Oryctolagus cuniculus: one gene and its partners. The protein of the gene in region 4 interacts with the protein of the main gene of each other region in a pairwise test. Links are inferred from orthologs where the notes say so. Each region holds a gene or a part of one and is shown on either strand. Other genes may lie near its edges.

Region 1 (5,868 bases), on a different chromosome or scaffold from region 4:
ACTCTGGCCATGCCTAGGCTGGAACGTGCAATTAACAGCTGGAAGTCATGGTTCCTCTGCAACCCTTCTCAAGAACAAGGGTCCTGGTGGCAGTCAGTCCCCCAGCACACTGGTTATCAGCAGGTAATGCTGGAAACACATATTGATGAGACTGGAAACAACTCTGGTGATTTAATTATGCCTGGTTTTGTAACTATTTACAGAAAAATAAGCGTGTGTATCAACACACACATGCACATACATCTACCATAACCAATGTGCCCATGTGAAGAAACAACACAGCACTGGGAATCACTTACCTCTTCAGACCAAGCCAAAGAATTCACTGGTGGCTTGCCCTGCCCATCCCTGAGGCAAAAGTCTCTTCCATGATATCTGATGGTCTTTTTTTTAAAAATACATGCATGTATGTATGTATGTATGTATTTGAAAGGCAGACAGAGTCAGATAAAGAGGGAGCTTCCGTTTGCTGGTTCACTGCCCAAATGCCCACAATGGCCTGCGCTGGGCCAAAGCCAGGAACCAGGAACTCAATCTAATTCTCCCACATGGGTAGCTGGAACCCAATCACTTGAGCCATCACTGCTACCTCCCGGCGTCTGCACTAGCAAGAAGCTGGTGTCATGGCTGGAGCCAAGTGCTGAACTCCAACACTCAGATGTGGAGCATGGGTATCCTAACTAGCATCTTAACCACTGGGCTAAAAGCCCATACTCTCCTGGCCTCAATACAACAACTGCTTTTTCCTACTTTGGCCTTTTAAAGATTAGTTTGGAGTATTTTTGGTAGCAGTTTTTCAAACTTTTCCATGATGTAAGTAATAAACAAAGTAGTTATTCTGAACAACCCTTGAAAGGTTTGCAACCAACCCTAAAGGCATTGATATCCAGACTCCGGTCCATGTATTTCTTCTTCTCGTATTTATCTCGGATAAATCCCTCGACAGCTCTGCCAGAAGCTTATTAAGGATGAATCAAACAAGCCTCTCCAACAGTAAGAATACAAAAAGCCAATTTGTATTCCACGGAGCTTTGTTCTTCTTCCTTCCTGCCTGGTTCCCCCCTTGGCTGCTGTCTCTCCATTTGCAGTTTCCCTGACCAAAACCTCAAGCTGCCTCCTTCAAGGTTACTGCGGAGAATGACTTCCTAGGATTTCCATCTAGGGTGCCAGCAGCAACGAGTGGGATTCACCTTTATGGACATCAGAGGTGTGTACGACTTCCAGAACACAGGGAACACAGGCAGTGATCTATTTTAAAACTCTTTAGGTCAAAAGATCTCAAACAAAGGCATTTGAATGCCCCTTAAAAAGATAAACTCTTGAGCCCACTGCCAGATTCTGATCATGGGGTCTTCTGCAGGGATTCAACTCTGTATTTAACAGGTTCCACCTGAACCCACCGAAAAGCAAAACTCTTAACAAGATGGTCTACAAGTTACATCTTGAAATGCACAAAACCTTTAGGGGTTTTGGTTTTGTCTATCAGGTGCAGAGAAAGAGAAAGTTACTGATAAACTGGTTACCAATAGTGAATTGTTTTACACAGGCCACACAAAGGCAATAAAACGAATGGCAGTTTTGCTGACTGCAAGAGTTGAACAGAGCACCAGTAAACTATTCTTTTTTATCCAACAATAGTTTCAGAGATCCAAACACTAATGGAGATGTTGCATTATGGAAGGGTTCACAGTGAAATCGTGGCATCCTGATGCCCGAGTGAGTCCTCCCGCCATGAGACTACACGGTAATTCTGAGGTTAGCAAGTATACATGTGCTTTTTATATGTCATGGTTGCAGGAGAGAGGAAAAGCAAGAACTCGGACTACTCAACACAGAGACAGCCCAGTCAGATCACAGACTTGAATCTGGTCTGACTCCAAACACCAAAATACCACTCTGCCTTTTAGGTTGCTCCAGAAAAGATACGGGTCTATCTGTGGTCGCCGAAATGTCTCAGGAAGGTAGGCTTCATAAAGGCGGTTTGCCTTTCCATTCCCCATCTCTTGCATGCACTGCGATCAAAGAGAACGTAGAAACATGGAATGTCAGAGCAGCAAAGAACTGGAAAACGTCTCACCCAGCTCCACCCATGTACACCGAAGAACCAACCCAGAGAGTGGAAGAACCAAGATTTTAATTTGTGCATTCTTATTTCCAGTCTATGATTCTCTCTACCCTACCAGGAACTCACATTCATTTGCCCCAGTAACTATCTTTTCTCCCTGTCCACGGGTTACTTTTATTCAAAGATTTGTCTGCCAAGATAGAATTTAAGTCAGTAACAATTCAAGATCTTATTTGGATGTCCAACATATATAGCTACCAACCAAAATGTCTCCCTGGGAGGCAATAATCAGTGTTACAACTCTAAGTTTTCACTACTAATTAACCTATTCCATTTTATTACCAATAAACGTTATGTTTCCCATTAAGTTTTTGAAATAGCCCCCTTAACACTTGTGAGAAATAAACCCCAAGAGCTTTTTAGATCTTCATATTCCCAAAACGTCCATGGCATGTCATTTCCTTTGTAGGATAAACTACAACTGTGAAATGTACTTCTGCCTTTTAGACCTTTAATGAATCTTGAGAGTCTCAAACAATTTCTAAAGCCATTTTCTGATTAAGAATAACCTCTTATTTCTATCACCAACTTTAGCAACTGGTTTTCTCTGGGACTTCCCTTCCTCCTCCCAACAAAGAAAAACACACTTTTTTAAATGAAGGTATTTCAGTATTGTTCAGTGTAACAAGAGAATAAAGAATAGCGAAGCTGCACCGAGGCTTAGGCCAGGCAGACTCAGGAACAGAAATGTCCCACTCCCAGCTCACCTTGCTGACAGCAAGCAATATTCATGCATGCATTTTAGCTGTATTACCCTAAGTCTATGATTTGGAGATTATTTTTAAGTAAGTACCTAAAACTACAAATGTTAGATCTGTAAATGCCGAGGGTATTAGAAAATAGACCAAAGATTCCTCCTAATATCGCCATGGGTACATGGGGTCCTAGACCACAGTTGATTTGTGTTTTGAAGCAGGTAAAATACGGATAGAATATCTTGTGTCTTAAACAGAAAGATATAAAATGTCTCTTAAAGATGCAAGAATTTCATGTAAGTGTTTAACAACTAAATTCTCTTTTATCTTCCCTTTTGTGCCCAGGAACTGAAATTCCTCCAGAACTTTTTACGTGGATATAGGGGAGTGGCTGACTCTCGGACTGCGTAAGTACCTGAATCTGTTCTTGAGTCCACTGGTCGAGGTTTACTGATTTTACCCTGGATATGTGCACCCCCAGGTTCCTGTGGATTCCAGCACAGCGAATGCAGATGAAGACACCAATGTTCCAGGAGGCCCATCGTGGCCCTGCGAAGGTCAGGAACAGGGCGATAAAATATATAAATTACAACAACATTTAGGGCCAAGCTGTGATCGTTAGATTATGATTCAACATTTCTACTGGAATGCAAGTGAAAGAATTTTGACCACAGTCACTTTTTTATTGACTTTGTTCATTCCTCCATGGACCAAGGGTTTTTTCAGTTTTAATTTTTTTGAGAGTATAGTACATACTCATATAGTTGTACAAGGATCACCACTATCTAATTCCAGAAGATTTTAATCACCCCAAAAGAAATCCCAAACCCATTAGCAGGCACTTTCCATTTCCTCCCAATCCCTTCCTTTCAACCCGGTTAACCACAAATCTACTTTCCAATGGATTTGCCAATTCTGGACATTTAATTCAAGTGGAATTATACAATATGTGGGTAAGTGTGCTTAGAGCAGTTTTTTACAGCTACTGTTGAGTGCTGAAATGCAGATGTTAGAATATTTTGTCACATATAAAGAAAACTCCCAAAGTTACATCATATCCTATTTAGCCTAGCACCTTACATGGAGAGTCCTCCTCCATGAAACTTTGCAATGGTGGTGAGGCCTAGATTCAGTGTTCCTACTAGGAAAAAAGATACAGATGTGGATGCGAGCCCAGGACTCAACCTGAAATTAAAAACGTTGTTTATCCTCGCTTCCCCTCCAGGCTTATAAAATATGCATCCACATTGACTTAATAGGATCCGCTCGGGCTGATGTCCCTACTTTACTCAACTACAGAATTATCTAGACTCAACTGCCCTCCCCAAAATAACAATAATAAATAAAGATGCTTATTGCAGCAAAGAGACATCTCAGAGAGGTTTTAACTCTTTCCCATCTCTGCCAACTTTTCTCACTCTCATAAGCATGCTAGAAAACTATCAAACTCCTCTTCATAATTGTTAACTAGGAAAACTGACTTGCTTTTACATGACACCTTCCAAAGACTGAAATATCAGAAATACTTCCTTCTCTATCATTCCACATCAGAATTAGAGGTTGCAGTAAAGCAGTGAGAAGACACTAACTGATTTTCTACAGAGATAAACCAGACCCACGTTTGAAGCAACAGGCACAAGACTTCAGTTCTGAGGGACACAGGCAATTATTTCGTTAGCCCACAGGTTTTGGAGACGTTTTAATGGAAGAATGCTAGAATCATGTGGCAAAAAAATATATATTCTTAGAAACTTGAATTCACAACTATTATAAATAACACAATTTTCTGATGATATCATTCATTTACAATGGCAGTTACTAGATACAGAGGGCTCACCTCCTCCTTATCACCATTAGGTGGTATTCTCTGCCTGAAATTTTATCCCAATGCCTTCTTATTACTATTATCTTGAAAGGCTCAGATTTATCTTCTGAAAAGATCTGCAGTCCCTTCAAATGCTTAGTTGGATTTGCATCACTGGTCTGCCATACAGCTAATAAACACACAAATGATTCACGAAGTTGTTTCATGTGGTGGAGTATACAGTGTTCATAAAGGAACTCCGATAAGATCTGAGCAACAAGATTAAAAATACGACCAAAGGTAAGATTTTCATGTTTCTTTAGCATCTTTCCTTTGCCCAAGGGTTGTGGAGTTTAGAACTCATGATAAGATACTTCAAATGTATTTGCTTGCTAACAAAATCAGAAACCAAAATCTCATTAAAAGCTGTGGAGGCATCGGGCCTGGCGCTGTGCTCTAGCAAGTAAAGCCACCACCTGCAGTGCTAGTTCAAGACCGAGATGCTCTACTTCCAATCCAGCTCTCTGCTGTGGCCTGGGAAAGCAGCAGAAGATGGCCCAACTGCTTGGGCCCCTGCACCCACATGGGAGACCTAGAATAAGCTCCTGGCTCCTGGCTTCAGATCAGCCAGCTCTAGCCATTGCAGCTATTTGGGGAGTGAACCAGCAGATGGAAGACCTCTCTCTCTGCCTCTGCCCTTCTGTAACTCTGCCTTTCAAATAGATAAATAAACAAATCTTTAAAAAAAAAAAAAAAGCTGTGGAGGCAAGTGTTTGGCCCCTGCTTGGGATGCCAGCAGGCACCTGGGTTCAGGTATTAGCTCTGCTTCTAATTCCCTGATGGCTCAAGTACTTGGGTCTCTGCCACCCACGTGGGAAACCCAGCTTGGGTTTCAGTCTCCTGGCTTCAGCATGGTTACTGCTGCAGGTTATTTGGGGAATGAATCAGCAGGCGGAAGATCTCTCTCTCTGCTTTTCAAATAATGGAAAGTATATATATATATAATTATTATTTTACGTCACCTTGAAAGGTTACCCTGTTTGCTTCCTGGCCCTTCTTCCCGTGAGGACGGCAGTTCTCAATCATTCAAACACAGTGAGAACTGTGGTCCCCAGGTCTTGCTTTGAGGAAGCAAGAGTAAGACTTGATGCCCTGAAGCCACTGATGAGGCCCAGCCCAGAAACAGGGGTAACCATATGTTCCTGAAAAGCCAGGGGAGAGCCTCCTCTGGTCCCCGCCTGCCA
Region 2 (5,868 bases), on a different chromosome or scaffold from region 4:
CATTCAATCACAGGGCAATTCAGCTAGCAAGAACACAGATATAAAGACTAAGATTTTAAAACAAGAAACAAAAACAAGAGAAAGAAAGAAAGCTCTTCTATAACTGGATCACCACTACCAGCTTCAGCTTCAAGGAAGCAGCAGAGCAGGCAGCTACTGGAAAACATGTGTTGCTCTCCCCCTCTCCTTTCCAGGTGCTCCATTAGGAGCCAGGGCCAGGAACCGGCGCTGTGGCGCAGTAGGTTCATCCTCCGCCTGCAGCACTGGCATCCTGCGTGGGCGTGAGTTCTAATCCCAGCTGTCCCATTTCTGATCCAGCTCTCTGCTAGGGCCTGGGATAGTACTAGAAGATCGCCCAAGGCCTTGGGTCTCTGCTCCTGCATGGGAGGCCCGGAAGAAGCTCCTGGCTCCTAGCTTTGGATTGGCCCAGCTCCAGCCATTTCGGTCATTTAGGGAGTGAACCAGCAGAAGGAAGACCTCTCTCCCTGTCTCAACTTCTCTCTGTAACTCTAACTCTCAAATAAAATCTTTGGAAAAAAAAAAAAAAAAAAAAGAGCCAGGGCCACTACTTACCTTAATGGACAATGCATAGAGGTGGTTCAGCATAACGTGGTTGGGCTCAGGGAGCAAAGCTGGGTCACACTAAGACAGAAAAACATCACTACGTGGAGTTAAATGCAGACAACCCAAACACCTCACTCGTCCTCTGTTCCTCTGATTCTTCTATCCCTGTATTCTTCCCTGGAACCGCTGAGAACTCTAAGCTAGAACACACTATCTCCTTTAAATAATAACACACCCCAGAACGTATCAGTAATACATTGCCATTAAGGAAAATTCCCAGTCCCAGGTAGAAATTTTAGACCTCAACATCTACTAATCTTCCTTAATAGAGCTAAAACAAAAATCTTGTTCACAACACATATGGCAAATTTATGTTGACATGCAAAAATAACCTTAGTGGAAACCAGGTACACTGAATAATGATGTAAAGTATATGCAAAAAATTGATAAGTACTTTTTATCTTGTGTTGGAACAGAAGTCCTGAAATTCTAGCAACACATAACTCTCTAGTCCTGATTTTGCTAGGACCAGCAAACAATGATTCACTTTTATACCAGGACATGAAAAAGTCAGAATTGAGCCTACAACACTATTGAGATACACATGATTTATAACCTCAATACCCCTTTGTAACAATCCTAACTTCTAGGGTTAATAACTTTTGACCCAAATGGTCCTAGAGACCCCCACATGCTCCAGCAATGCTCTCTGGATACTCACAGAAATATTAGTGTCCTTGTTAAGAATAACTTGGAGAAGGTGAGGAGGAAGTATGGGTGGCGATTTGAATCTCTCTTCAGATCGAAACACATACATTTCTTGACCATAAGGCCCTGGGGGTGAGCTGGAAAGGTCTGAAACATATTTATATAAATATGAGAGGAGGACAGAGGATTTGTAACAATGCATGGGAAAAAAAGCCATCAATGCATGGTAGCTAATATTAAAAATTCAGTAACAGTCACGGATCATGAGTTTGTGACCTGTTGAGTCTGCAACTGTAAGGCAGCCAAAGGGAAAGCCTGAGTCATCCTGGACACAGAACATGAGGAGAACATGAGGTTCCTCTAGGCGACAACAGGGCACAGGGAGCAGAAGACGACGAGTCAATGAGCTAGGCTCGGGGAAGAGCTGCTCCACTTATTAGCTGTGTGACTTTCGACAAACCCCTTCACTATGGCTGGTTTCCACAGCCATCACAATTTTTAAAATCTTTGCCTTATTTCACAATGCTTTTCCTGAAATCAAATGAGATAATGGACATGAAAAAGTTTTGTAAATTTCCAAGCAGTATGAAATGATCAGACTTCTCTTGCCCACCCAAGCAAACGAAAACAAGGTTATAAACTCTTTAAAGACTACCTGATGCTACAATGATCTCAGTAATAAAGATCAAACATATGAAGCAGTCATTAGGAAATGCAAATCAAAAACACACGATACTTTGAATATTCACAAGGATGGTTATGATAAAAAAAATAAGTGTTGGCAAAGATGTGGAGAAACTGGAAGCTTCACGCTATTCCCACTGCCAGCTGCTCAGAAAGCTGAATATAAAGTTACTACATGACCCAGTTCTGCACAGAAAAGTGAAAACATGTTTACACAAAAAATCTGTACATGAATGTTCGTAACAGCATCATCTATAAAAGCTAAAAAGCAAAAAAATAATCCAAATGTCTATCAACTAATGAATGGACACCAAAATGTGATGACCATGGAATGGAATTTGATTCAACTTTAATAGCAGTAAAGTATGGACACATGTTCCAACATGGATAAACCCCAAAAATATCATGCTAAGTGAAAAGTGTCAGACAGGGAAGACCACATTCTGGGACGAGCATTTTGGCACAGTGAGCTAAGTTGGTTGCAACAATATCAGAGCATTAGTTCGATCCCAGTTGCTCCACTTCTGATCCAGCTCTCTGCTACTGTGCCTGGGAAGGCATGGAAGATAGCCTAAGTGCTTGGGCCTCTGCCACCCACATGGGAGACTCAGATGGAGTTCTAGGCTCCTGGCTTCCGCCAGGCCCAACTCCAACTGTGTGGCCATTTGGGAAGTAAAGCAGCAGATGGAAGCTCTCTCTATCACTGTTTCAAATAAATAAAGCTTTTTTTTTGGAAAAAAAAAAAAAAAGACTGCATATTGTATGAATCCATTTGTATGAAATATCCAAAACAGATAAACGCATAAAGACAGAAAGTATATTTGTGGTTACTAGTAGTGGAGGGGAGGTGGGAACAGGAAATGACTGCTAATGGGTGTGAGGTTTCTTTTATGGAGTGATAAAAATACTCTGGAATTAGACAGCAGTGATGGTAGCAAAACTGCAACAATATAAAAATATTACTGAATTGTACATTTCAAAAGGGAGTACTTCAAAAAGTTTGTGGAATTACAAGTTTATTTTAGTGCCAAAAAATTTAAAAACCATGCATCTGAGTAGTCTTCAAGAAGTTCACGGATGGGACATTGTTAGGCACGGCAGTTAGGACACTGCTTGGGATGCCACATTGCGTATCAGAGTGCCTGGCTTTGCGTCCCAGTTCCAGCCCCTGATGCCACCTTCCTGCTATGCACACCCTGGAAGACAACGGCGAAGGCTGAAGTAGTTGGGTCCCTGTCACTAAGGCAGGACACCCGGAGTGAGTTCACGGCTCCTGGCTTTGGCCCGGCCAGTCCTGGCTGTTGCAGGCAGTTGGAGAGTGAACTAAATGGGAAAGCTCTTGTCTGTCTGGCTCTCTCTGCCCCACAAATAAATAAAACAAGTAAATGGAATTTTTAAGAGTTCATGGAAAATCATATTATGAAAAAACTATATATGGATTTCAAATTTTTTGCATCAAAATAAACATCTCTTCATTTCATTTTTATCACAAACTTTGGGACATACTCTAGCATATCTCAAATGGAAAAGAAAAGCACACAAGAGTTGAAGGAAATATACAGAAATGAAAATATCTATATTTCTTATTTTAAAAATTTATGATCTCATAGTCCCCAGTGAAAAATATTTTAATGACAAGTTAATTACAAGTACTCAGGTAGGAGTTAAATACATATGAAGCTAAGGCAAAAAAAATGGTAATAACACTATGATATTAAGCAATATCTTAAAAACATATAGAATTTGAAATTTTCTAAAATACTTTCAGTTATTTTGTCACATGATCCACAAAACATCATTGGGCAGTACCTAGAACAGTTTTTATTTCTTTTTCATCAGAAAAATAAAATACAAATTGGTTAAGTGATTTACCCAAAGTCACAACACAAACTATATGGTAAATGAGTACAGATGAAATCTTTACCTGCAGATTCCTAAAAAAATACATTCGAAGTCTTACCTCAGTGGACCAGATACTGGGTGAAAGAGGGAAGAGAGAACCAGCAATAGTATGGTAGTCCTCTCTCTCTGTAATTATATATCTATTTTTCATTGGTTGCTTTGCCAAGATCATATAAGGTAAAATGTAGTCACAAGTAGCCTCATAATCTAACTCAATATTTTTAAACCCTTTTAAATCATTGCCCCAACTTTTTGAGCTTTTTTGATAACAACAATAGTTCCAAATTCTCTTCTACAGATAATGATTGTACTACTGACTATTCCTTTAGATATTATGATCTGAGATCCTAATATGCACTTCAGGTGTGGTGACTGCTGAGCATCAGTGGCAGTCTATGCACCTGCCTCTTACTGTTAAGGAACTGAGAACCAAAAAGGTCCAGGGACTTGTCTGAGATGGTAAAACTAGTTAATACCAGAGGCAGGCTTTGAACTCACGAGAGGGAAGTGTGCTCCCTGGGAATACAGTGCACAGTTGTTTGGACAGTCATAGCCTTTACCGCAGAGAAACAAAACCGTAACTGCGAATATAGTTAGCAAAACGCTCTTTTGGGGGCTATGTATACCTATAGATACAGGATACAAACACACACACACGGTTCAGAAGATTCCTGAGGAGAAGTGGAAAAACAGAACAAAATACAAAACTGCTATGGGAAAGAACATGAATTACAAGACAATATAGCCAGAAAGAGCTTACACTACAAAATTACCTCGACAAGACGTCTCAGAGCTTTCCATGGAATCTAGCTTTAAGGCATCAAACACTTCAAAATCCGACTTCTTGACATGGATCAAATTGTTAATCGTGCCAAGCTGACTGGTAACCACGGGCTGAAACAGTGAATAGAACGAATCACTCAATCCCCTTTTCAAATCTCTCTTCCACCCAATCTTTCCTTTCTCTTTTTCTAAAAGAGTTGCCAGTGAACATACTCGGACCCCCATCTTTTATGGAGAGAGATCCTGCAGTGCAGGGGAGCTGTGGCCTGTCCATCCTGACAGTGACGACAGCTAAAATGAGAATGCTGCACCCACGGCCACCCCTGGAGATCCAGGCCTTACCTCGGATGGGTCGTGAACCCACTGTCCGTCCACAAAGAACTTGTATTGGTGCTCTCCCTCAGGGAGGTCCAGGATGGCAACAAAGTCATTATGGCTGCCAAAGGAAACAGAACGTCAGGCCAATTCCTTTTGGAAGGCAGAATGTAAAAGCAAGTGGCATTCACAGTATCAGGGCCACAGCCTCCCTTATTTCTAAGCCACTGTATTGTCTGGCATAAAAAGTAATTTATAAACTCATTCTCTCTTTCTATGTCACCTTGGACATGTATTTGCCAACCCCTGCCAATAACTTAAGTTCTTAACCAATATCTGCAAAAGAATACTAAAGACACCGTTCTCCCAAAATGATTCATCCCAGTACAACTACATCGTGTCAGCATAATGGATTCCTCACGTGTGAAGAAGGTAACGGCTGGTTCAGGATACAGAAGGGACTCAGGGTGTGCTTTCCATGTTTTGGTCAGCCTTTTCCAGAAAATGACTATTATATTAAGGGCGATTTTGACAGGTAAATAGTTCATTATTGCTTTGCAATTAACACATGCTTATACTATCTAGAACTTTACAGTGTGTTTTGCTTTAGTGCAATAGACAGAGCAACAGGACAGAGCCGGTTACAGAAGGCTTCCCACAAGCACAGGAAGGGCTTGTGTAACTCGGCCCTAAAGAAGGAACCCACATAGCTGGTCTGAGATGGTGATGTTCTAAGTGGGAAAGTCTCTCTCACGCACTGTGAGGTTGAAGCAAAACGCCATGTGCAGAGCAAATGCTCACAGCCAAGGGCATGCTTCAGAGACAGGCCCCAGGAGCTGGAGAAGAGCAGGCCAGCCCACCTCTCTTGGAAGAAAGGAAATCAGGTCTCTACCCCGGACCCCGAAGGCGCAG
Region 3 (5,868 bases), on a different chromosome or scaffold from region 4:
ATTTAATTCTGTAGCTCATTCCTTAGGTTTACTCAAAAGCACTCCTGGGTATTCTCCTTTATTATCACACGTGCATTATTGAAATTTTTCCTCTTATTCTTACGAAAGGTGAGTTTGCCTGACCCTTATTGCCTCAAAAATTAGGAAAAGGAGATGAACTGCACTGGCTAACTCACCCACTGAGACTGAATGGGTACCAGGAGTGAGGCTGGCTGATATATTACATGTCTCATTCTGAGGAAGACATTCAAGGCACAAGGTGAAGGATCTCTGTGAATGAGACCCCATTGGAAAGAAGGGGCCATCAAAGGAGGATATACTTTTCTCTGAAGGGAGGAGAGAACTTCCACTTTGTCTATGGCCTTGTCTAAATACTGACAGAGTTTGTGGTCACAAAAAGCTTCCACAGCCTTGGCAGCGCATGTCAAGAGTCTCGGGTGATCACTGAGGTCATAAAAAAGAGTGTTAATTGTTAACAACAGAAGTCACTGTGCACTTACTCCCCATGTGCCACCTCACCCCTTAATGAGTTGTACTATGAGAATTAACTACAAAACTTGTTCTCAAACAGTACTTTTTACCTTGTGTGTGTGTATGTGAGTGAACTGTTGAAATCTTTACTTGATATAGAGTTGGTCTTCTGTATATAAAGTTAACTAAAAATGAATCTTAGAGAAGAATGGGTTGGGAGAGGGAGTAGGAGGTGGGATGTGAGTAGGGGAGGAAGGATGGGTATGGGGAATAAAACCACTATATTCCTAAAGTACCTATGAAAATTATATTCATTAAATAAAAGCTTTAAAAAAGAGTGAAGAAGGTGAAAGAGGAGTGGTTAAAGAATAGCAGAAGGAAAGTGAGAGGATGAGAAATAAAAAGATGATATAATAATGAAAAAAACATAAAATAAACATGACAACTATTAAGAAGCTTGGAATATGATAGCAAAAAGTAAAAAGCAGTTAGGTGAAATAAAGAAAGTGTAATGAAAGGTACAGTTTAAGGGAGAAGCAGAGACCCATGGAGCGAGCTATATTTGAGCTATATTATAGCTAGGATTTCAACAGCCAAAGGAAGGCCAAGAAGTACTGAGAAAGGAGAGAAGATAAAATTCACAGAAGATGAAAGGGAGTTTGGCTGGAGTACAGGGTCCCTATAAGGATGCTTTAAAATAGTTCATGGAAAATAGAATTAAAAGGTAAATTTATCTTGGTGCAAAAAATTTTTCAAATCCATGCACAATTTTTTCATAAAACACATTTCTTATGAAAATTTTGAAGAGCCTTCATATAACATGGTAACACACCATGTGAGTGGCACTGTGGACACAGAAGTCACAGAGAAACTGACATCTCTACCTAGGCAAGAAAAAGGATTAGGAAACACATTGGGAAAATGACCAATTGTAATTGTATTTTTTTTTTGACAGAGTTAGACAGTGAGAGAGAGAGACAGAGAGAAAGGTCTTCCTTCCATTGGTTCTCTCCCCAAATGGCCACTACAGCCGGAGCTACATCTATCTGAAGCCAGGAGCCAGGTGCCTCCTCCTGGTCTCCCATGCAGATGCAGGGACCCAAGCACTTGGGCCATCCTCCACTACCCTCCCAGACCACAGCAGAGAGCAGGACTGGAAGAGGAGCAACAGGGACTAGAACCTGGCACCCCTATGGGATTCTGGCACCGCAGGCAGAGGATTAACCAAGTGAGCCAAAGTGCCGGCCTCTGTAATCATATATTTTTGAGTGTATATTTTAAAAATTCCTATATCAGGACAGGTGTTGTGGCACAGCAGGTTAAGCATCTATTTGGGGTACCCACATACCTTATCAAAATGCCAGTTTGAATCCCAGGTGCTCCACTTCCAATCCAGCTGCCTGCCAATACACCTGAGAGGCAGCAGATGATGGTCTAAATACCTGTGTTTCTGCCACCCACACCAGAGACCAGGATGAAGTTCCTGGCTCCTGGCTCCTGGCTTCAGTCTGGCCAATCCTGGCTGTTGTGGGAATTAATCAGTAGACAAAAGATTTATCTTTTCAGTCTCTTCCTCTCTGTCACTCTTTCAAATAACAAATAAAATTGTGTTTTAAAAAAATCCTATGTGACTCATCTAGTTCATCAGATGGTGAGCCCCTTGATGCTAGAGATTTTTATATCTCTAAGACTCCCTAGTCCACAGTGGCACTCACATTACTCCCAGTAGTGCAATAAACAGCCACAGCTCTTTTCTGTTCCCTTAGAAAATCATCCATCATGTTCTTTCCCCTTATGGGAAGCAAAGGTTGGCTCTCAATGTGTTCTCAGAGTCCTTTGCACTATTAGACAATTTACAAAGTAAAGAAATAATTTAATATGTAGTCATTTTATACATTTCATCTTTCCCATGTTTGTGATGTTTTATTTTGTTGGCTCTTTAAGGGTAGCAATATATACATTGAATTCAATACATTAAAATATAGCTTATGTTTCTATCAATAAGAATATCATATTCAGATAGCTAATATGTACTTCTTTATCTAGCAAATAAAAATATTTTTATAGGTCAAGGATTTCGATTTATGCCAGCATCTTCTCTCATCTACCCCAATAAACAAGATAATCAAATCCATGTATGACAAGAGATTCAACAGGCCCCTTCTTCACATGTGCTCCTGGCTGGTGGGAACTGACAGTTGTAGCCTTAACAAGGCAACGGCATAAATTACCAGAGACTCTGACCTAGCACCATTTCTCTGTCTCAGAAAGTCTTTCTTTATGAAAGCAAATATTAAAGGAAAACTTGGACTTAAAGGCTGCTCTGGTGGGAAAACAGTAGAATACTAGATTATTTTAACACTACAGGAAATTAAAATAATCATCTGACTTACACTCAGTGAGGCTTTGTAATGTCTTATCAAAATGAAGTGTAATTGTTGCATTGGTAAGTTAGCAAGGTGACCACAAGAGTGACTCCCGCATGCTCAGTGTGGCAAACTGTGTGCCATGTTTTCTTTACTTGGCCTGTACATACCCTGATGAAGATGGACTTTTTCCTCTTCTCTCTGGCTACTGAAATGCAGCTCTAATGACTCTGTCGCTAAGTGGCTGAGTGGGTCGAAAATTGTCTCCCAAAATCCCATCACAGCCTTCCACAAGTTCTGCACCTTTAACATGAGTCCGCAGCCTTCGAAATTCTTCTATCTGAAAATGAGAACAAAACAAAATAGATTACCTACATACCAGACATTAACAAGACTTATGGTTTCATATGTGGCTTCACCTGCAAGGCCAGCATCCCACATGGGTGCCAGTGGTGTCCCAGATGCTCCACTTCTAATCCAGCTCCCTGTTAATAGCCTGGGAAAAGCAGAGGAAGAGGGCCAAGTCTTGGAGCCCTTGTTACCCATGTGGGAGACCTGCAAAAAGCTCCTGGCTCCTGGCTTGCATCCATCTGGAGAGTGAATCAGAGGATGGAATCTCTCTCTCTCTCTCTCTCTCTCTCTCTCTCTCTCTCCCTCCCTCCCTCCCTCCCTCCCTCCCTTTCTATGGCTCTTTCAAATAAATAAATAAATCTTTAAAATAAATAAATGCCTAAAATCCAACTAGAAAAAGAGAAATGCAAATTGAAATTCAAAGAAAGAAAACCAGACTTAGTTTTTATAGACCTAAGACATTAGACAAGATCCTTTGAAGAGAAGTCAGCAGAGAGGAGATATCAAGTTCTCCAGACTACTCAAACAGTCACAAAAACATGCTGTATTTGTTAATGTGAAAATGATACACAACTCTTTCAAAATACTTTTGTGCCTGTGTACAGCACAATGAGAAAGAGTAAATAAGTGAATAAATATTCTTAAATGCTTCCCATTTCTATGTTAAATTTGCAGATTCTGATGGTACTGGATGTTAACTTTGATTAGATGTGAGACTTATTAGGTGAATGTATTAGCTTTTCGTTATTATTACAATGAGATACATGAGAACATCTACTAGTGAAGAAAAGAAAAGCTACTTAGCTCATAGTCTGGCAGATCTAAGACTGAGACAAGATGGCCTCACTGATGTGGCCTCTGAAGAAGACAGCAGATGGCGATGACAGAGCACATGTGAAGGAGCACACAGTGAGCCAGGAAGCAGAGGAAAAGACTGAGCCCTTCTCAGGCTTTATAACCACTCCTTTCTCCAGAATGACCAATCCAGGGCAAGCCCCAGCAAACTAAAGACCCTTTGGGCCGGCGCCGCAGCTCACTAGGCTAATCCTCCGCCTTGCGGCGCCGGCACACCGGGTTCTAGTCCCGGTCGGGGCGCCGGATTCTGTCCCGGTTGCCCCTCTTCCAGGCCAGCTCTCTGCTGTGGCCCAGGAAGGCAGTGGAGGATGGCCCAAGTGCTTGGGCCCTGCACCCCATGGGAGACCAGGAGAAGTACCTGGCTCCTGGCTTTGGATCAGTGCGGTGCGCCGGCCGCGGCGGCCATTGGAGGGTGAACCAACGACTAAGGAAGACCTTTCTCTCTGTCTCTCTTTCTCTCTCACTGTCCACTCTGCCTGTCAAAAAAAAAAAAAAAAAAAAAAAAAAAAAAAAAAAAAAAAAAAAAACAAACCTTTGGCAGGCCCCCACATCCTAAACACCATAACCAGACAAATATCCACCCTCTTAGTACCACTATCTTACAACTTTGGGGGTTGAACACCTTCAGGAGTTCTGAAACCAAATCATATTCAAACTATACCAATGAATTAGCAGATTCCTTCATCAACAGATTGTCTTTGCTGTTCATCTAACTCTTTGGAGAACACTGGTTCAAATACCTTTGATTTTCCAAAAATTTAAGCCAGTTTCATCTCTTAGCAATAGCAATGTTCATCTCCCTTTCTCAAGTTGTTTCTCCAGGTCTCACAGCTTCACCATTTCATGTGACAAAGTTCCCAGAGTCCCAAGTGACCTGCCTCATCAAGAGCTCCTGCCAGAGTTACTCTGAGAGGTTTTTAAACACCAAGAAAACATGATGAACATTACCCAGGCACATTCTCATCTATTAGCTGATTTACCTTCAGGGCTGATTGTTACTTCATTAAAATACCACATAGTAACAGGACACGGCCATTCCTTACACAGAAGCGGAAACTGAGGCTAGAAAGGTTAAGAAAGTTGCCATGTTAGTCAGTGGCAGAAGCCTACAGTTACAAATCCACCTGCTGTTTTCCCAGCTCTACAGTCACCACTTTAGAAATTTCCACTCAAAACACTGTAACCTATATTCTGCAATTATCCTAGTGCATTGAGCCAATGTGATCTGGATAGCATCAATCCTCCAAATTTCATCATCTCTGTATCAAAGGACTGTATCTACAAAGGTTCTTAAGACAACACGGCCATAAGAGTCTGCTGTTCATAAAAAGAAATGAAATGCAACAGATTAACTAATGCAAGGATTCTGATAAAAGTCTAGAAACAACAAGAGACTTTAAGAGGCCCATGAAACCCCTGAATGATAGGCAAATTTTACATATGTATTTTTCCCGAGGAGAGACTCCAGATTGCAAAAATTGAATCTCACAAGTTTCTAACTCAATCCGCTCCATTCATCTTGGGACAGAGCTGGGAAAAAACTAAATGGCTTGTTAGATTCAAACTCAAGTTAGAAAACAGACTTCTAATGTTTTACTTTCCATGTCCCCAAATATTGTTTAATGTCCTTAAATGACTTAAGTGTGACCCAAGTGATATTGCCTTATTTTTTCAAATAATACATACATGGTGTATTTATATAGCAGTGTCACTCCAATAAGTAATTAGGTGTTTAATATTCATGAGGGTCTTTCACTAGACCTCCTTAGGGTCTTAGAGTACAAAAATGAAAAGCATCTACTGCTTGCTGCATCGGGAAAATTCC
Region 4 (5,868 bases):
TTGGATTATGGATCTAGAATTCAAGGGCCAGTCAGGACTGGAGATGGAGCTATGGAAGCAGATAGCAACAACATGGTGTTTCAGACCGCCTTTCCTGAGTCTGATCACGTCCCACTGCAGACACTTTACAGAGGAAGTGCTGAGGAAAAACAGGCAGCTGACAGGGGAGGTTGCTATGCAACAGATGAGGAAAGTCATCCAGCCAAGCAGAACTGATGTTGGCCCTTGGGGACCAAGTGCTGCAGTCCTTCCTGGTATTAGCTTCCTTTCATATGCAGGCTCCTGGCAGGACCTCATATAAGAAGGAATGCGAAATGCACAAAGATCTGCTTTGAGTTTTTGGAAAAGTATCAGTTTAGTTTGAGCCTCCTCACATCTGTATATGATTTTCTGACTTTTTTTTTTTTAGTTTCTCCAATTCTGGAAGCAGTGGAGCATGTGTGCCCTTGGGTAGGACACACATACTATGCTTTCTGTTCTGCATATTGAGAAAACAAGCTCAGAGAGATCGAGTGTCTTGAGTGAGCTCACGCTAGTGACACACAGGCTGGGCACTCTGTTCTTGGGATTTTGAAATCAGTCCAGCCTCTTTCCTCAATACCACAGTTGCTCCAGATCCCAAACCTCAGCCAAGGAAGGAAGTAGGGCAAACATTGACTCTGAACCAGAGTTTGCCATGGTTCAGACACACAAGTGCCTGGTTGTCTTGGCCATTTAAACAGGCACCAAGAAAATCTTGGGGACAACATCATTGTGTCACTCAGAGGAAAGAGTCCTGTGTGACATTGGGAGCTGAGAGTGGGCCCCGAGGAACAATTCCTTGGGCTGGGGGCTTTATCCTGTGCCCTCCTGAATGCAGAACATGAGCTTAGGCCTCCTAGAAAACAAAGTTTGCTTTTTTGGGACAGATGTTAGGGTTAGGGGAGGCCAGGGGCTGAAGTGGAGGAATGAAAAGTGCATAATTTGGGCTTTGGAGTTATGAAAGCCCAGGCCCAAAGTTTGCATTTTCTGTTTTCTGGTGCCTCTCTGGCCTTCTCTAGTTTGAGCAATGTATCTGCACCTCAACTTCTTGGTCTTTGAAATGGGGGTGCTGACACGCACCTTCTAGGGCTGCTCTAAGAAGAAAATAAGCCTCAGCATAGATCTTGCTGTGATGTAAGTGGGTTCTGCAATAAAGTTCATGGGAATGCAAAGTATGGGAAACCTGCATGTATTTCAAAAAATACGTTGGCACCAAAATAAGCTTATCTTTCAATTTTGTTTGTTACGAACTTTTTGGAAGTCGCCTTGTACAAGCTGTGTCCTTCTCTCCCACAATGCACACAACATGATTACATTGACTGGAGCTTCAGAAAAGGGCTGCAGGCAAGGAGCTAATCTGAGTCTGGAAGCCAGTGAGGGGTGCATGTGGTCACGTGGCAGGCACAGACTCCAATAGTGTGTATTTTCTGGCCATTTCCTTCCCTGGGTTGCAAAGCAGATGAGTTCAGCAGGGGCCTAGCACTTGTTGCAATTAGAGATTCTCCACAGACACTTCCTTAATAGTGACCTAAACTGTGCTGGGAAGGGGGTGGAACTGCAGGCCGACCTGATGGGAGGTGCCTTGAATAGAGGAGGGATTGAACAGAGACGCATTGCGGAAAAGGTAGGGGGCCGGTGTACGGGGCAAGGGGTGGGACCAAGAGGCATGGCGCTTCTGTTGGGGGAGGGGATGTGGAGGAAGAGGAGGAACCGTTGTATACTGTCGACCTGGTTGGTGGTGGGATGGTGTGTTGGCAAAGGGGGCGGGGCCGCGTTCCAATGCGCATGTGTGTCCTGCTCTCCCGGACGAAGCTTTTGTTGGGAAAGTGGGCGGGTTTGTAGTTGGTCGCCCAGTCGTGGCGCATGCGCGTAACCTCCTGAGGTAGTGGGTGGTATATTAGGCGAAGAGGCGGGGTCGCCCAAGCTGCCGCGCTGGCATTTTCTCCTAGACAAGGAGAGAGTGCGGCTGCTGAGAGCCAAGCGCAGCAATCCTGATCCTCTCAGTCGTGAAGAAGGGAGGCAACGAGGGGGTTGGGGTTGGGGCCTGAGGCAAGGTGAGAGCTAGCTCCCAGAGAGGGCGTCTGTCCCCCGGTGCGGGTCTCTCCCCCATTTATCCCCATCCCTTAACCCCGTGTTTCTGAATCCCCCCTTCCACTGCCGGAACCCCGATTTACACCCCCCACCCGATCCTTTCTGATTCAGAGCCGCTGTGTGCTCTCTGAACCCTTGACCAATTCCTCTCAGAGGTCCTCACAGAGTCCTTAACGATTTCTTGACTGACCCGTACTGTTCGGAGATTCTTCCTGACTGAAAAATCTCCATTCAACTTCCCGAACGCGAATCCCACCACGCCCCACCCTCGGGTTCAGAACTCTGATCTGTCTCCCGAGCCCTGATTTGAAGCTTTTGCCCTGTTAGTTGCTTCTCGGAATTCAGAATCTCCATCTGGACGCCCGTTCACGTGTCCCGCTCCGCTCTGGTCCGTTCCTCCTCAGACCCAGCACCTCAGCCACTTCACAACCAAACGGCACACCCCTGCCCCCTCCCCTTCCGCTCCGATCTGGCTCTTCGTATTTTGCCCTGTGTAGTATAACGCCCAGCTCCTTTCCCTCAACCCCCAGGCTCTGCTCTTGCCAGAGGGACAGGAGCCATGGCTCAGAAAATGGACTGTGGTGCAGGCCTCCTCGGCTTCCAGGTGAGATCTCCGCTCCTCACCCCAGCATTTCCCCTCCGACACTCCCCTCCCCCCCAGCCCCTTTCATCAGCCCAACACCTGGATCTGATTTGGCCCTCTTCCGTGCCTAGACTTTGCCATTTTTCAAATTTGCGGCATTTATCTAAGGGGAAAGAAGCATCCCTTTTCAGCCATCAGTCCCTGCTTAGAGAAAGGGGAGACCCTGTTAGTAGTCGGGGCAATCTGCCCAGAGAATGCGGGCTGGGTAAAGGAACCATTTTCTTTTCCATAGGCCTGGAGTGCAGAGCAGTCTGTCACCCCCTCCCCCAGCCTCCCACCTCCACCCTCCCTCTGTCCCGCATTCCTGACTTGCTGCGACCCCCCCCCCTTACTCTCCTCAACTCCTTGCTCCGCCTCCTAAACTGAGCTCCTGCTGCACTCCCTACCAGCTCCGCTCCAACCCCACTGATTCAGACCTTGCTTGCTTTTGTGCCCACTCCTCACATTGCTCTAATTGTCATTTTGCCCCTGCCCTGCACCAGTCCACCACATGTTTTGTACTCACGCTGCCTCCCTTTGCCCACTGCCTGCTCCCTGGGTTCCTGCCATAGCCCTGTTTTTGCAACAACCATCCTCCTGCACCTTCCCAGCTGTTCCCAACCTGAGCCCCAGAGATTAAATTTGTTTTTCCTGTGTTTGCAGACGGAGGCCTCTGTAGAAGACAGCACTTTGCTTATGCAGACCTTGATGGAGGCGATCCAGATCTCAGAGGCTCCACCTACCAACCAGGCCACAGCAGCTGCCAGCGGGCCAAATGCTAGTCCCCAGAGTTCACAGCCCCCTACTGCCAATGAGATCGCTGATATTCAGGTCTCAGCAGCTGCTGCTAGGCCTAAGACAGCCTTTAAAGTGCAGAGTGCCACCCCAAAGGGCCCAAGTGGTGTCTATGATTTCTCTCAGACACATAATGCCAAGGAGATGCCCAGTGCTCAGCCTAAGGCAGCCTTTAAGTCCCAGAATGGCACCCCAAAGGGCCCAAATGCTGCTTATGACTTTTCCCAGGCAGCGGCCACTGGGGAGTTAGCTGCTAACAAGTCTGAGATGGCCTTTAAGGCCCAGAATGCCACTACTAAGGTAGGCCCAAATGCTACTTACAATTTCTCTCAGTCTTTCAATGTCAATGAGATGGCCAATAACCGACCTAAGACAGCCTTCAAGGCTTGGAATGATACTACTAAGGTCCCAACAGCTGACAGCCAGACCCAGAATGTAAACCAGGCCAAAATGGCCAATTCCCAGGCAGACATAGAGACCAACCCAGGTATCACTGAATCTGATGGTGCAGCTGCACAGACATCAGCAGATGGACCCCAGGCTCAGAATCTGGAGTCCCGGACTATAATACGGGGCAAGAGGACCCGCAAGGTGAGATCCCCACTAGCGTCACTTTGCTTTGGGCTCTCTCCTTTCTTCTCTGAAATTGTTCACTTGTTCTAAAATATATATATATATATTTATCAATAGATATAGATCTGCCTTGTTTAGCTAAGCTGTAGATAATGTTGAAGTGAATTTTTTTTCTGTCCTCTGAGTGTCCATAGACTGATGGGGAGTTAACATATGGAAGCAAATATCAAACTTGTATGTAATTCAGTTTACATTTGGATAGTAACCACCATGTATCAAATCTTGAGCTAGTTCACACAAGTTATCTTATTAAATTTTGAAGTCAGCTCTTACCAGTTGGGGACCATAGTCTTAGTTTTACAAAGAAGGAAACTCAGTCCCAGAGAAGTGAAGTGACTTGAGTGATTTGTTCAGGGTGGTACAAGCAGAGCGAGTGGTGGACATAGGAAGAGAAGAAGCCTCAGGCCCCACCCCTGGGTTGCTCCTGGCCTGGTTCGGAGATGCAACTCCTGCTTGGAAGACAGTGAAAGACAAGCCCAGGACTCAGGGTGACCAGTGGCTAGTGGGTCAGGCTGTCGTTACAGGTGAGGGTTTAGGGGGATTTCCTGAAATAGATAGGGTGAGGACACAGAATCAATTTGTGACCCTGGACTTTCCTTCTCTCTGATAATGCAGATTAATAACTTGAATGTGGAAGAAAACAGCAGTGGCGATCAGAGACGGGCCCCGCTGTCTGCAGGGACCTGGAGGTCTGCACCGGTTCCAGTAACCACTCAGAACCCACCTGGCGCACCACCCAATGTGCTCTGGCAGACCCCACTGGCTTGGCAGAACCCATCAGGCTGGCAAAACCAGACAACCAGGCAGACCGCACCAGCACGTCAGAGCCCCCCAGCTAGGCAGACCCCACCAGCCTGGCAGAGTCCAGTTGCTTGGCAGAACCCGGTGATCTGGCCAAACCCAGTGATCTGGCAGAATCCTGTGATCTGGCCGAACCCCATTGTCTGGCCTGGCCCAGTTGTCTGGCCAAACCCACTGGCCTGGCAGAATCCACCTGGATGGCAGACCCCACCTGGATGGCAGACCTCACCGGGATGGCAGGGCCCTCCAGACTGGCAAGGCCCTCCTGACTGGCCACTGCCTCCCGATTGGCCACTTCCCACCGATTGGCCTCTCCCACCTGACTGGCCACTTCCACCTGACTGGATCCCTGCTGATTGGCCAATTCCTCCTGACTGGCAGAACCTGAGACCCTCGCCTAACCTGCGCCCCTCTCCCAACTCGCGTGCCTCACAGAACCCGGGTGCCTCCCAGCCCCGTGATGTGGCCCTTCTTCAGGAAAGAGTAAGAGCTCTTCCTCCCCACTCACTTCTTTCTTTTACTCTTTGTCATCTTCCCATCTATAATTCAACCGGGTTTTCTTCAAATGTAACTAGTGATTTCTTTTCTCCCAGGCAAATAAATTGGTCAAGTACTTGATGCTCAAAGACTACACAAAGGTGCCCATCAAGCGCTCAGGTAGGCTTGTTGTCCCCCTCACACTGAGCTCTGCCCTTCCTTTCACCCGATGCTCTATGGCAGGGGTGAGGAACGTCCAGCCCATGGGCCATATAAAGCTTGAGAGATCATTTGATCTGACCCTGCCAAGGCAATCACAGGTGGAACTCAAAATTCAATAAGTCTATAGCAGGCCAATTTTTAGGTTGATAATTCTGTATGGCCTGCGAATGATGTGATAGATATACAAATGACCCTTGGCAGAAAAA

What was found.
Region 1: the proteins of MAGED1 (region 4) and SMAP2 interact in binary tests that used the Homo sapiens proteins (3 or more experiments, as listed by UniProt). The two-hybrid records come from large-scale screens. The link is inferred for Oryctolagus cuniculus from reciprocal best matches to the Homo sapiens genes MAGED1 and SMAP2.
Region 2: the proteins of MAGED1 (region 4) and PRKAB2 interact in binary tests that used the Homo sapiens proteins (3 or more experiments, as listed by UniProt). The link is inferred for Oryctolagus cuniculus from reciprocal best matches to the Homo sapiens genes MAGED1 and PRKAB2.
Region 3: the proteins of MAGED1 (region 4) and CA8 interact in binary tests that used the Homo sapiens proteins (3 or more experiments, as listed by UniProt). The two-hybrid records come from large-scale screens. The link is inferred for Oryctolagus cuniculus from reciprocal best matches to the Homo sapiens genes MAGED1 and CA8.

Annotation. Positions count from the first base shown.
Region 1 is NC_091438.1:132,487,733-132,493,600, forward strand, and holds part of SMAP2 (stromal membrane-associated protein 2), read right to left. Parts: intron 3,370-5,868; coding exon 3,236-3,369; intron 2,013-3,235; coding exon 1,927-2,012; intron 949-1,926; coding exon 870-948; intron 1-869.
Region 2 is NC_091438.1:50,122,329-50,128,196, reverse strand, and holds part of PRKAB2 (5'-AMP-activated protein kinase subunit beta-2), read right to left. Parts: intron 5,078-5,868; coding exon 4,984-5,077; intron 4,753-4,983; coding exon 4,632-4,752; intron 1,420-4,631; coding exon 1,286-1,419; intron 643-1,285; coding exon 574-642; intron 1-573. UniProt on the Homo sapiens protein: Non-catalytic subunit of AMP-activated protein kinase (AMPK), an energy sensor protein kinase that plays a key role in regulating cellular energy metabolism.
Region 3 is NC_091437.1:85,550,782-85,556,649, forward strand, and holds part of CA8 (carbonic anhydrase-related protein), read right to left. Parts: intron 3,178-5,868; coding exon 3,043-3,177; 3' UTR 3,008-3,042; intron 1-3,007. UniProt on the Homo sapiens protein: Does not have a carbonic anhydrase catalytic activity.
Region 4 is NC_091453.1:36,322,785-36,328,652, forward strand, and holds part of MAGED1 (melanoma-associated antigen D1), read left to right. Parts: intron 1-1,461; exon of another isoform or gene 1,462-1,645; intron 1,646-1,841; exon of another isoform or gene 1,842-2,075; intron 2,076-2,642; coding exon 2,643-2,716; intron 2,717-3,397; coding exon 3,398-4,120; intron 4,121-4,777; coding exon 4,778-5,446; intron 5,447-5,556; coding exon 5,557-5,620; intron 5,621-5,868. UniProt on the Homo sapiens protein: Involved in the apoptotic response after nerve growth factor (NGF) binding in neuronal cells. Inhibits cell cycle progression, and facilitates NGFR-mediated apoptosis. May act as a regulator of the function of DLX family members.